2 linked regions of the Canis lupus familiaris genome follow. The protein of the gene in region 2 interacts with the protein of the main gene of each other region in a pairwise test. Links are inferred from orthologs where the notes say so. Each region holds a gene or a part of one and is shown on either strand. Other genes may lie near its edges.

What was found.
Region 1: the proteins of KPNA5 (region 2) and ANP32B interact in binary tests that used the Homo sapiens proteins (3 or more experiments, as listed by UniProt). The two-hybrid records come from large-scale screens. The link is inferred for Canis lupus familiaris from reciprocal best matches to the Homo sapiens genes KPNA5 and ANP32B.

The regions. Positions count from the first base shown.
Region 1 is NC_049232.1:55,563,218-55,568,873, reverse strand, and holds the start of ANP32B (acidic leucine-rich nuclear phosphoprotein 32 family member B), read right to left. Parts: upstream 3,573-5,656; 5' UTR 3,558-3,572; coding exon 3,513-3,557; intron 1-3,512. UniProt on the Homo sapiens protein: Multifunctional protein that is involved in the regulation of many processes including cell proliferation, apoptosis, cell cycle progression or transcription.
Region 2 is NC_049222.1:57,662,973-57,668,658, reverse strand, and holds the start of KPNA5 (importin subunit alpha-6), read right to left. Parts: upstream 3,348-5,686; 5' UTR 3,161-3,347; coding exon 3,157-3,160; intron 2,549-3,156; exon of another isoform or gene 2,525-2,548; intron 1-2,524. UniProt on the Homo sapiens protein: Functions in nuclear protein import as an adapter protein for nuclear receptor KPNB1. Binds specifically and directly to substrates containing either a simple or bipartite NLS motif.

The sequences.
Region 1 (5,656 bases), on a different chromosome or scaffold from region 2:
GCTATTGAAAGGCCTTGCAAAGAGGAAAGCTTTCAGAACTAGAAAACCCTCAAGCTTCAAAATTCTAGGTAGGAAGAATTTCTCTTATATGGTACAATGTGTAAACTTCACTCTCTTTTTTGCCTTTAAAAATTATGGTAAAATTCACATAACATAAAGTTCATCTTAACTCTTTGAAAGTGTACAATTCAGTGACATTTAGGACATTCATAACCACTACCACTACCTAGTTCCAGAACATTTTCCTTACCCCAAAAAGAAACCCTGTACCCATTAGGCTCTCCCTTCTGACCTCCCCTGATCCCTAGCAACGCTTATCTGTGTTCTGTCTCTACAGATTTGCCTGTATGGGACATTTCATATAAGTTGAATCATATAGTATGTAGTAGTTCCATACCATGATAAGACAAATATCATCTTAATATTATTATACAAATAATTTGGCCTTGTGGACCCCCTGAAAGAGTAGCAGGATCGCTGAGAGATCTGCAGAACAGGATTGAGAAATGACCATCTAGGTCATCCAAGGCGTGGAGTTAGAGGTCCCCATTACAGCTTCTCTTCTAGCACAAGGTGGTTGTGCCCCATGTCAAACCTGAGACCTCCCCCTCCCAGCTCCTCACCTCTTTTGTAAATTCTTCCAGTAATTTTCTGCAGTTGAGGTGAGTAATATAGTATAATAGGTTCATACCTAAACTGCTCAAAGTAATCAAACAACCAAATGGGGACACATATTTATTAGTAATAAATCTGAATGTGGTAACAAACAAACAATTATACCACATACTTACTTCCAATAAAATTCTGATCACTTCCTGCCACTCTCATTGCAGTTTATAATCATAGTAATTACCTTTTACCTGTGACAAGAGCCGTCATGTATTTTTGAATATCAAGCAGCAGCCATGCTATAAATTGCTAGCCCCTTTCTCCTCTAATGATAACAGCTTATTTTTTCTTCAAGTATTCTTCTCAGAGTAATTAGCATGCTTATTATACAGCATATTCAAATGTTAATGTGCACACTGCACTGACGCTATTGTGAGACCCATTTTGCTCAGGAGCTAAAATTATGTTGCCATTCTGCTTGGTGCTAGAGGTTCTGTGCCTAAAACCTGTTTTCCACATGCAAGGAGCCAAGGTTACTTAATTAGAATGCTGAGCTAGAATGAGAAGAGTCTGACACTTAATATAGAACCTGCAAAGCTAAATGGGGTCAGCGAGTATAGGGCCTACACATTTGAATGAGCCATCCATCACTATAGAGACAATCAATATTTGAGCAGTCTGGCTTTGGGGCATGTTTAACATTGTTCCTCCAGGGGCGCTACCAAACTCTGCCTCTGCAGGTTAAAACACCAGAAATCACCGTTCAGTTGGAATCATTTTCCTCACACTGAGCTGAAGTCTGCTTGAATTTTCACTCTTCAGTGGTTGGTTTTTTGTTTTTGTTTTTGTTTTTGTTTTTGTTTTTGTTTTTGCTCTGCCCTTTGAAGCCCAAAGAGCATATCTGCTTTCTGTTCTGTAACTTCCCTGCAGAGACTAAGGATGGTGACCTTGTCCCTATGGTCTGTTCTCTCAAGGCTCAGGGACCCAGTTCTTATATCATGGGTTACCAGTCCTTTTCCCACTGTGGCTAGTGTTGCCCCCACTTTTTTTTTTTTTTTTTTCTAAATGAGACATTCAGAACCTGAAACAGTGATCCAGGTGTAGTTGGATTGGTGTGGAAATGCACAGATCTCTCTTGGATGTGATTCTACAGTGCTTTCCTGGAGCATATTACCTTTCTTGTTATCTACCACTGATTGATCATCAGCAAAAACCACCAAACTTTCTAAACCATGTATTGGTACACAGGCAATTAGCCATTTAGATCCAAATACAGGATCACGGATTTGTTATCATCGCATTTTGTCATGTTAAATTTGACCCAATGCTTTGGCCTATCAAGAGCCTTTTTTTTTAAATCTATCCTGAATCTATCCTTTTCGTCCAAAATGTAATCAACCTACCAATACTGCTATCTTTACACATATCAGGATTAAAAGCAACTGACAGAAAAGGCCTCAGGATGGAGCCCTTCACCTGCTATCAGAGACTTCAAAGTATTCACTCAACCTGTTATAACCCTTCCTCCGTACTCTTCTTTTCTTTCAACTGTCTAATCCTCTAACTCAAGTTGTTAAGGAGGGAAAACATCAAATAATCCATGTCACTAACTGGCCAAGTAAAGTGACCTGGAAAAGAAACCAAGGAAAAGGAGTGAATAAGGACTGTTGAATAGCCTGATGTGACAGGACAGGATTCTCTGAATCCTTCTTGAGCTAGGTCCACACACCGGGACAAATTGAGGAGGTACTAAGGCATGAGCAAAATGGAAGATAGTCTAGGGTTCTGTTGTGATGAGATAGAGAGGAAATCAATAACCAGGAAATAGAACCAGTGTTGGAAGCTGGGAGATAGCCAGTTAGTACATCAAACTGGAAGGACTAGGCAGAGAGAACAGGGACAGGGGAGGATCACAAGGAGAGTGAAGCAAAGAATGGACACGTAAAACAGAATCTGGACATGCTAAATGCACTCCAGAGCTGTGTTGTTCAATACGGTAGCCACTAGCTATAGGTGACAATTTACATTTAAAGTAATAAAAATTAAATTAAAAATTCAGTTCCTCAGTTGCATTGGTCATATTTCAAGTGTTTGATAGCCACATGTGGCTAGTGGCTACCATATTGGTTGGTACAGAAGACCATTTTCATCATTGCAGAAAGTTCTATTGGACAGCTCATCTCTAGAGCACTCTAGGTGCCAAACCAGGTAAGATATCATTTTAGTGCATTTGTTTTTCCTTTGCTTTCCTTCAAGACCCAGCTCAAATATCAATTCTTCTGGGAATTTGCCCCATGCTTGGTCTGTAACTGTATGCCCTGGGCAGCAGAACATTCTGAGCTATGCAGTTCTTGGTGATAATGCATAGATCTAGATGGGACTTGGCATGGAGATCCTAGCATGGGCATTTGCCCAATCCTTAACCAAAATGTGGCTTTTTTTCTGTTTGGGGAAGGCATTCTCCTTGACAAAGCAATTAGTTTTGGGACTAAGACACGTGGAGCAGGAGAGAGGGAGGGAAGAATACTGGCCCAGTCAGCCAGATCTGCTGAATCCACCTCTGCAGCTATGAAAAACCATTTGCAAAAAAGCTTTTGACCTCCTGTCCACAAACATTATGTAGGCCATCTTGGCTAGGCAGTCAAGAAGTTGAAGTCAAATTGATGCAAGATATCTTGTCATCGTACCTGTAGGCCCTCACTAAATTTCCATTCTGCCTTCTTTCTCTTTTAATTTCCTGTGCCAGAAGCTCTTAGACTTTCTCATAATAAGGTCTATCAATTCTGCCTCCTAAAATCTCCCTAGGATCTGTCCCTTCCCTCAATATTCTCAGTTAATTTATCTTCTCTCTCCTTTCTCACCCAGCCCCCACCCCACCACCTAAATGTTCTTACGAACCTTACCTGACCATGACACTCTCCTCCCTGAAATCCTTCAGTGGCTCCCATGACATCATAAAGGCCTGCTGCTCAGGGCCCCACTACCCTTCTGGTTTCTCTTTGTTGTTGTTTCTAATATTTTATTTATTTATTCATGAGAGACACAGACAGAGACAGAGACATAGGCAGAGGGAGAAGCAGGCTCCCTGCAGTGAACCTGATGCGGGACTCAGTCCTAGGACCTCGGAATCACAACCTGAGCCAAAGGCAGACGCTCAACCACTGAGCCACTTAGGGGTCTCTACCCTTCCGGTTCAAGTCTTTCTGCTCTCTGACATGTAGCGCACACTCCAGCCCAGAACCACGGTGTCCTCCTGCAGCTCTGTACCTCTCTACTTGCAGCTCCTCCTGTCGGAAATGCCCCCGCTCTTGCCCCTTGCGGAATTTCTACACCCCTGTTAAGATTCCATTTAAATCTCATCTCCTCTGAGAAGTCTACCCAGGGCCCTCAGACAGACTTAAGTGATCCATCAGCTATGCCCACTGTTCCGGCTTTGGTCAGAACACATGCTGTGTATGACACTCATGAGTCTGTTTCTCCTGCTAAACTGTGAGGTCTCAGGGGAAGGCAGCATGTCTGACTCATCTCTTATCCCCAGTGGCAAGCATAGGACCTGACACATCACAAACATTTACTAAATGCCTGTTCAAGTGAACAACAGTCTATACCATTATGAGGCTCCACGGGGACTGAGAGTTGAGGACTATGTGGATCCTCTGTGAGGGTTGCTACTGCTGGGTTCCTTAGAGGCACCCCTGGATGGGCAGCCCTGCTAGTCCAAGAATGTGGGAAGGAGCAAGAAGACTGCTGAAACCCTCCCACACACTGGCCCTCCCCTGCCCCCGCCCCCACCCCAGGGACAGGCCAGGCACTGTGACCTACACAAGCCCATTCCTCACTTCTCCTGAAAAAGCACAGGATCCCCTAACGAAGGCTCTTGTAGGGACCCACCTGTGGGTAACTCTATAAAGAGAATTAGGGGCAAGGGTGAAAAGCCTCTTTGTAGAATGGAGAGGGATGGAACACTGCTACTCTTGTACTGTATGGGGGATGTCACTCACTGGTGAAGGAAATGTGGGAGGTTGCAGCAACACTTGCTATGTTTTTAAAAGTGCACCATACCTCACGGTTACCAAGACATTCCCACTTGTATCATCTTCTTTAGTCTGTTCTCCACCTTGAGGGCCAAGCAGGAGAGATCTGGGGTTGTCATTTATAGATGTGGAAATGAATAGCCAGAGAGGTCACAATTTTGAGCAAAGACCCATAAAAATGAAATGAGTTGGGACGCCTTGGTGGCTCAGTAGTTGAGCATTGCCTTCGGCTCAGGGCAAGATGGAGTCCACATGGGGCTTCCTTCATGGAGCCTGCTTCTCCCTCTGCCTGTGTCTCTGTCTCTGTGTGTGTGTGTGTCTCTCATGAATAAATAAATAAAATCTTTTAAAAAAATGCAATGACTTACCCAGGGCCATGAAGTAATAATGAGATCTATAATAAATGGGGGTTACTTAAAAAGCATAGGCTGGGTTTCTTTAACAAAATGCTTAAAATCAGATACATGTTCTAGAAAATTGAGCCTGCAGAGGGCTTTCAGGCATCTCTTGGGAAATGTGACCAGATGACATTAAAGATTTCTTCCAGCTATGAGATTCTATGAAATTTAGTGTTTACTGTGTCCCAGGTTCACGTAACTCCATTAAGTACCATTATGAACTCCCTCATAATTCCTAAAATAAATAGATCTCCTGCCCAGCCTGGCATCCCTGTCTGACTTACTGAGAAGTCTCATGCCTACTACGTATGTATTCCATCAACTGGCCATCAATCTCTTCTTTCCACTCCTACTCCCTACAACATAGCAACTCTATTACTTGATCAGTGGTTCACTTCCTCTGTCAGAGATAACTAGGATTTAGAGCTAGAGGCGTAATTTCTATGTAAGACTAGAAAGCAGAACTGTCGTCATGTATTATTGAGATCTTAATTTAATTCCCATTAAAAGGGAATTAAATTGACTGGATTAGTGAAGGTTCACTCTATTCTTTCCTCTCAGAGTGTGACTAAATCCATTTCAGTGCCATATTTGGTAGTGGAATATGGGAATGGA
Region 2 (5,686 bases):
ATATACTTATTAATACTTAGGGCACATACAGGAGATTAAGACCTATAGATGGTTAAAAAATAGGGTCAAAACTGATGAAGAGTCCAAACTGATCACCCAAGATCATGCAGAGCTATAAAAGAGAGATGGCCAAGGGAGAAATCTTGAGAACGTTTACCTTCGATTGGGAAAAGGAAAGAGCAAAGGAAACCAAAAGAAATAGGTCAGAGGAATAAGATAATCAGAAGTAAGAGTCCTGAAAGAGAAGGGAATTCAAAAGACAAAGGAGTATTTCATTTGTAGTAGCACTAAAAATAAGTCACTCAATTTATTCATTCATTGATTCATTGAACGAATACAAGTTCCAACAATAAGCTAAATACCACATGAGGCAAAAGATGTGATAATTAGGTCACTGGTAAAGACAGAAAAATTTCATTATAGGTGGAGCTAAAAGTAGAATGGAATAGGCTGAGCACTTCAGAATGATTTAAGAGGTACTCTCTGTCTTTGAACCTATCACATGTATATTCTAGCAATTAAAGTGCATTTATAATTGACGAAAATCCTTCTTTCAAAGGATTTAATGAATGGATTGCAACAATACTGTGGACCTACAAATACTTATCATTAGAAACAGCTCAATCTAACTTTATTAATAATAACAATGTTCAGCATTATTCTCTAAGCATTTCATATATAAAAATTGTTTTATTAATAAGAGTTTAGGCTCTGGGAAGAGAAAAACAGAGATAAGTTCACTGCAGAGCAAACTGGGCTTCAACATTACTTGTTGCATTACGCTCAATAAGTATAAAACATTTTAGCAAAATGAAATGTTCACAGCAATAAGCATCTTAGTATTTATCACCTACAACATTAGGCTTTTCCAGGTCACTGGCCTCTAATTTTTTTTTTAATTTTTTTTTTTATTTATGACAGTCACACAGAGAGAGAGAGAGGCAGAGACACAGGCAGAGGGAGAGGGAGAAGCAGGCTCCATGCACCGGGAGCCCGACGTGGGATTCGATCCCGGGTCTCCAGGATCGCGCCCTGGGCCAAAGGCAGGCGCCAAACCGCTGCGCCACCCAGGGATCCCCTCTAATTGTTTTTGATCACATATCCTCATGTATGCAAAATATATTAGTGCATTCATCCCCACATTTATTTATATACAAGTATTTCTAGGCTAAAATTCCATCCCATTATAAAATTAACAAAAGTTTTTTTAAAAAGGGAATAGTTTTAAAAGGTAAAGAAACAATTTCTAATATCTTCTCCCCACATTTGATTCAATCACCTTGTGCCTCCCCAACCTACACACTCAACACTAGTACTTCTAAGACCATTATTCTAGGTGACCACAATTAAAACCATGAATATACATTTGGGGAATATAAAAAATAGTGAAAGGGAATAAAGAGGAAAGGAGAAAAAAAGAGTGGGAAATATCAGAGAGGGAGACAGAACATGAGAGACTCCTAACTCTGGGAAACGAACGAGGGGTGGTGGAAGGGGAGGTGAGGTGGGGGGGGAGGTGGTGGTGACTGGGTGACCAGCACTGAGGGGGGCACTTGATGGGATGAGCACTGGATGTTATTCTGTATGTTGGCAAATTGAACACCAATAAAAAATAAATTTATAAAAAAAATAAAACCTTGAATATAAATATGTCAACCAAATAAAATCTACTCCCAACAACTCATGAATCATTGGTTTCCTTTTCGGATATAGTACTAACTTCTTACTGAACACCTGCATCCTCACTGCAGTTGCTTTAAACCGGACAAGTCCAAGAAAAGTCATCTCTTAAAGGTGCCTGGCCCAACAGGATTGTTCCCTTTTCTATCTTTGCTATCTCATACAAATTATTTTTTAAAAAGATTTTATTTATTCATGAGAGACACAGAGAGGGAGAAGCAGGCTCCCTGCAGGGAGCCCGATGGGGGTGGGGGGCTGGATCCCAAGGACCCCTGGATCACGCCCTGAGCCCAAGGCGCTCAACCACTGAGCCACCCAGGTGCCCCTCATACAACTGATTTCAAAAAGAAAAAATGACATTCACATACTTCGAGGTTGCACAAAGGATTTCCTTTTATTTTCAGTCATAAGCTTATTTTTTTCCTTCACTTAGCTCTTTGAAAATACTGGCTTGAGGCTGGGAAAGTAACTGGAATTTGAACTTCTTCTATTTATCAACCGAATTTCTCATGCCCCTAAAAAAAAGCCTCCATTCCTACGGGTTTGGGTGCCTAGCAGCAAAAAAAAAAAAAAAAAAAAAAAAAAAAATATTTAACATCGGCACAAGACGGGGAGCCTGCCTGCCGACTAGAGCCCCGACAACCGAACAGGCAGCGAAGACGAGACACAGCTGAACCTTGTTTACCAAGAAAAGTCGCTTCCCTACAGAATAAGAATCACCGAGCGTTGTAATTAAGAGACACCAGGTCAGAGGTCCGTTCTCTTGGGGAGAAAAAAAAAAAAAAATGTTTTAAAAGCCTAAGTGTAAATGCCGATGTCCTAGTCTTTTGAAGCATCACTATACCGTTTCATAGCTTTCGGATCCTTCATCTCCTAGGCACCGCCGAGGAAAACACCTATTAAATTTCCATCTTGGGAGGGGAGGCAGATGACAGGCCATCAGAGAGAAGCATGTAACCCACCCACCCTTGCCGGCGTGGACAGGAGCCCCCCCCCCCCCCCCCCGCCCCGGGGCACCTGCACCTGCACCTGGCGCGCCGCGACCGTGCGGCAAGTAGGCCCCCGGGGCCACCACCCGGGCCGGATTCCGGGCCCCGGGGAACTCGTAACGCGCTGCCTGAGCCACGCAGACGCCGCGTCCCGGGAGCGAGCGACGTCCGACCAGCCCTCGTACCGAGAATCGGGGCCCAGGCCCGGGGCGGCGGCACCGGCTCGGCCCGCAGGGCTCCTCCCGCCTGCGAGGCTCTGCGTTCCCGCACCTTCGCGGCAGCGAACACCGGGTCCGGCGGCCACGCCCCCGCGGTCTCCCCGCGGTACACCGGGGGGCGGGGCGGAACCCCGATACCCGGCAGCACGGCCTGTCCTCGAGCCTCCGCCAGCAAAGGGGCAAGTAACGGTGGCCCCTGGACCCTGTAACTCCCAAAGGGACCTGGCCCGGGGTTCTCACCCAACCTGGCCTGCCCGCCCCCGACTTACCCATTAACGTGGCACTCTAGCCGGCGTCTTAACTGCCCAGTTCCCGGCGGCGGCGTCCGCTGCAGGTAACCGCGGGGCCGCCACTCCGCCCCCAGCGTCGAGCGCAGCGACCAAGCCGGCAGCTCAAGATGGCGGCTCCCGGCGCCCCTTCCCCGAGACCCCGAGGCTCGGCTCCCAGAAGCCCTTGCACGCAAGCGAGCGGCCTAGCTCCACCCCTCAAGGGGCGTGGCCCGCATCTGCCCCGCCCCCCGCCCCGCCTCCCGGGTGTCAGCCGGGAGCGCGCGCGGTGGCAGCCGCGTGTCCTCCCGACCTCGTCCTCCGCGCGAGCTCCCCTCCATTCACACTCAAGCGTGGGTTGCGTTTGCAGATTCAGTCATTCATCCTTCAAGGTGGTGTGGATGGGGAGCCTAAGCGGCGCCGGGCGCTGTCACCGAATAGTAGAGCCGCGCTGGGGGTGCACGACGGAAAATGCAACCTCGTGGGGCTCCACCGGGGAGGCTCGGCGGCTTCAGCTGCATTAACCGCTTCCTGTGCGTCCTGCTCGTTCACGGGTTTCAATTTTGCCGTTTAAACTTCGGATTCTATGACATCTGTGAATTCTGGCAAAAAGTCCCTGACGGATGAATAGTTGCAAATAAGGAATTCTAAATTAGTGTGACACAGAAACTTTGTAATCCAGCCTGGGGTTCAACAGCATTGAAAGAGACTTTTCCAGATGCGATGCTGGGCACGGAATATAGAAGATAAAGAACACATCATTTCTGCCCCTATGAAGATCCTGTTTTCTATCTTGTTCTGTTTGCTGAAAAATTTCTTGGCTTATCTTCCAGCTCTGGATTGAAATAGAGATAGATAGATAGATAAATAGATAGATAGATAGATAGACGATAGATAGATAGATAGAGGTAGGTTGAGATAGATAGATTGAGAGGTAGATAGATTCTGCTATTGTATTATTAAATTCTGCTATTGTATTTTTAATCCCAAGAGCTATTTCCTATTTTTGAATCAGGAATTAAATATCTTTTTTTTTGTCTCTCTGAAGATATTAATTGTGGTTTCCTTAAAGTACTTTTTTCTTTTTCATTCATTGTCTCTGATTCTTCACAGTTTTTTCTTTTCTTTTTAAAGATTTTATTTATTTATTCATGAGAGAGAGAGAGAGAGAGGCGGAGACACAGGCAGAGGGAGAAGCAGGCTCCATGCAGGGAACCCGACGTGGGACTCGATCCCGAGGCTCCAGGATCAGGCCCTGGCCAAAGGCAGCGCTAAGCCGCTGAGCCACCCGGGCTGCCCAGTTCTTCTCCTTTATGATCGTATTGGGTTTCATCTTTCCTGCCACCACCATACACTAATGCTTGGTGATCGTTGAGCATCTATTCATATTTAAGAGTGAGACACTAAAGAAAACTACTGTAAACTTGGTTATCAGACGAGGGTTTACTTGCCCATTATTGGCCTCCCTACAGAGTAATAACATGAGACTTTGGCTGTTTCATTGGAGAACTATCTAAAAGCCTTTATCTGTAGATCTTTTCTCTCAGACCAATGATTTTCCCTGGAGAAGAATCTTTTAATTTCCTGTCTGGAGGGCACATATCAGACATCAGAATGTGATGGGGGTTAAAATGGCCTCATAATTCAGTATTTAGCTTTCACTATTACCCACTTATAGTCTAACACCTTGACACCCCTCTTAGCTGTGCATTTCTGACTTTATAGTCTTTCTGATTCAGTTTCTTCATGAAATCAAACCTGTAGCCTTCTGTCTTAAAAGGAAAGGTAACTTGGCACCCTGGTTATGGAGGAAATCCGGAAGTGGGGTTCTAACTGCTCCTTATTCAGACTTTTCAGCAGACTATTCCTCTCTTCAGGCCCAGTTTTAGTATGTTTTTCAGGAGTATCTAGTCTTTAATTTGTGAACATTTCCAGAATTCTTTTGTTTAAACTGATTAGTTTTTGTTGACTTCTTAGCCAAGTTAGTTACTACTCATCTGTCCTTTTTCTAGCTTTTAAATGTTGCTAAAATCTCATTAGCATTTACTTTTATTATTTTTATTCTTCTAAGTCATTTTAGTAGATTTTGAGAGGCAGGGAATATAAATGTACATGGTTAGTCTGCCATATTGAAGCACAAAACCCCAGATATACTGTACATTATCAGATTATGCCACTCTCCTATTTAAGTATTCTAATAGTTTTCTACAAAAGCCTACATTATTTGGCCCCTGCCCACAACTCTGACGTCCCATAGTAACCACTCTTCCTTCTAATTTTTTTTAAAGATTTTATTTATTCATTAGAGAGAGAGAGGGAGAGAGAGAGGCAGAGACACAGGCAGAGGGAGAAGCAGGCTCCATGCAGGGAGCCCGATGTGGGACTTGATCCTGGGACTCCAGAATCACGCCCTGGGCTGAAGGCAGGCTCTAAACCGCTGAGCCACCCAGGGATCCCCACCACTCTTCCTTCTAGAACATTACACTTAGGTTACAAATGTTCTTTTTCCTTCAGTCTTACAGCCTTTGCTCTT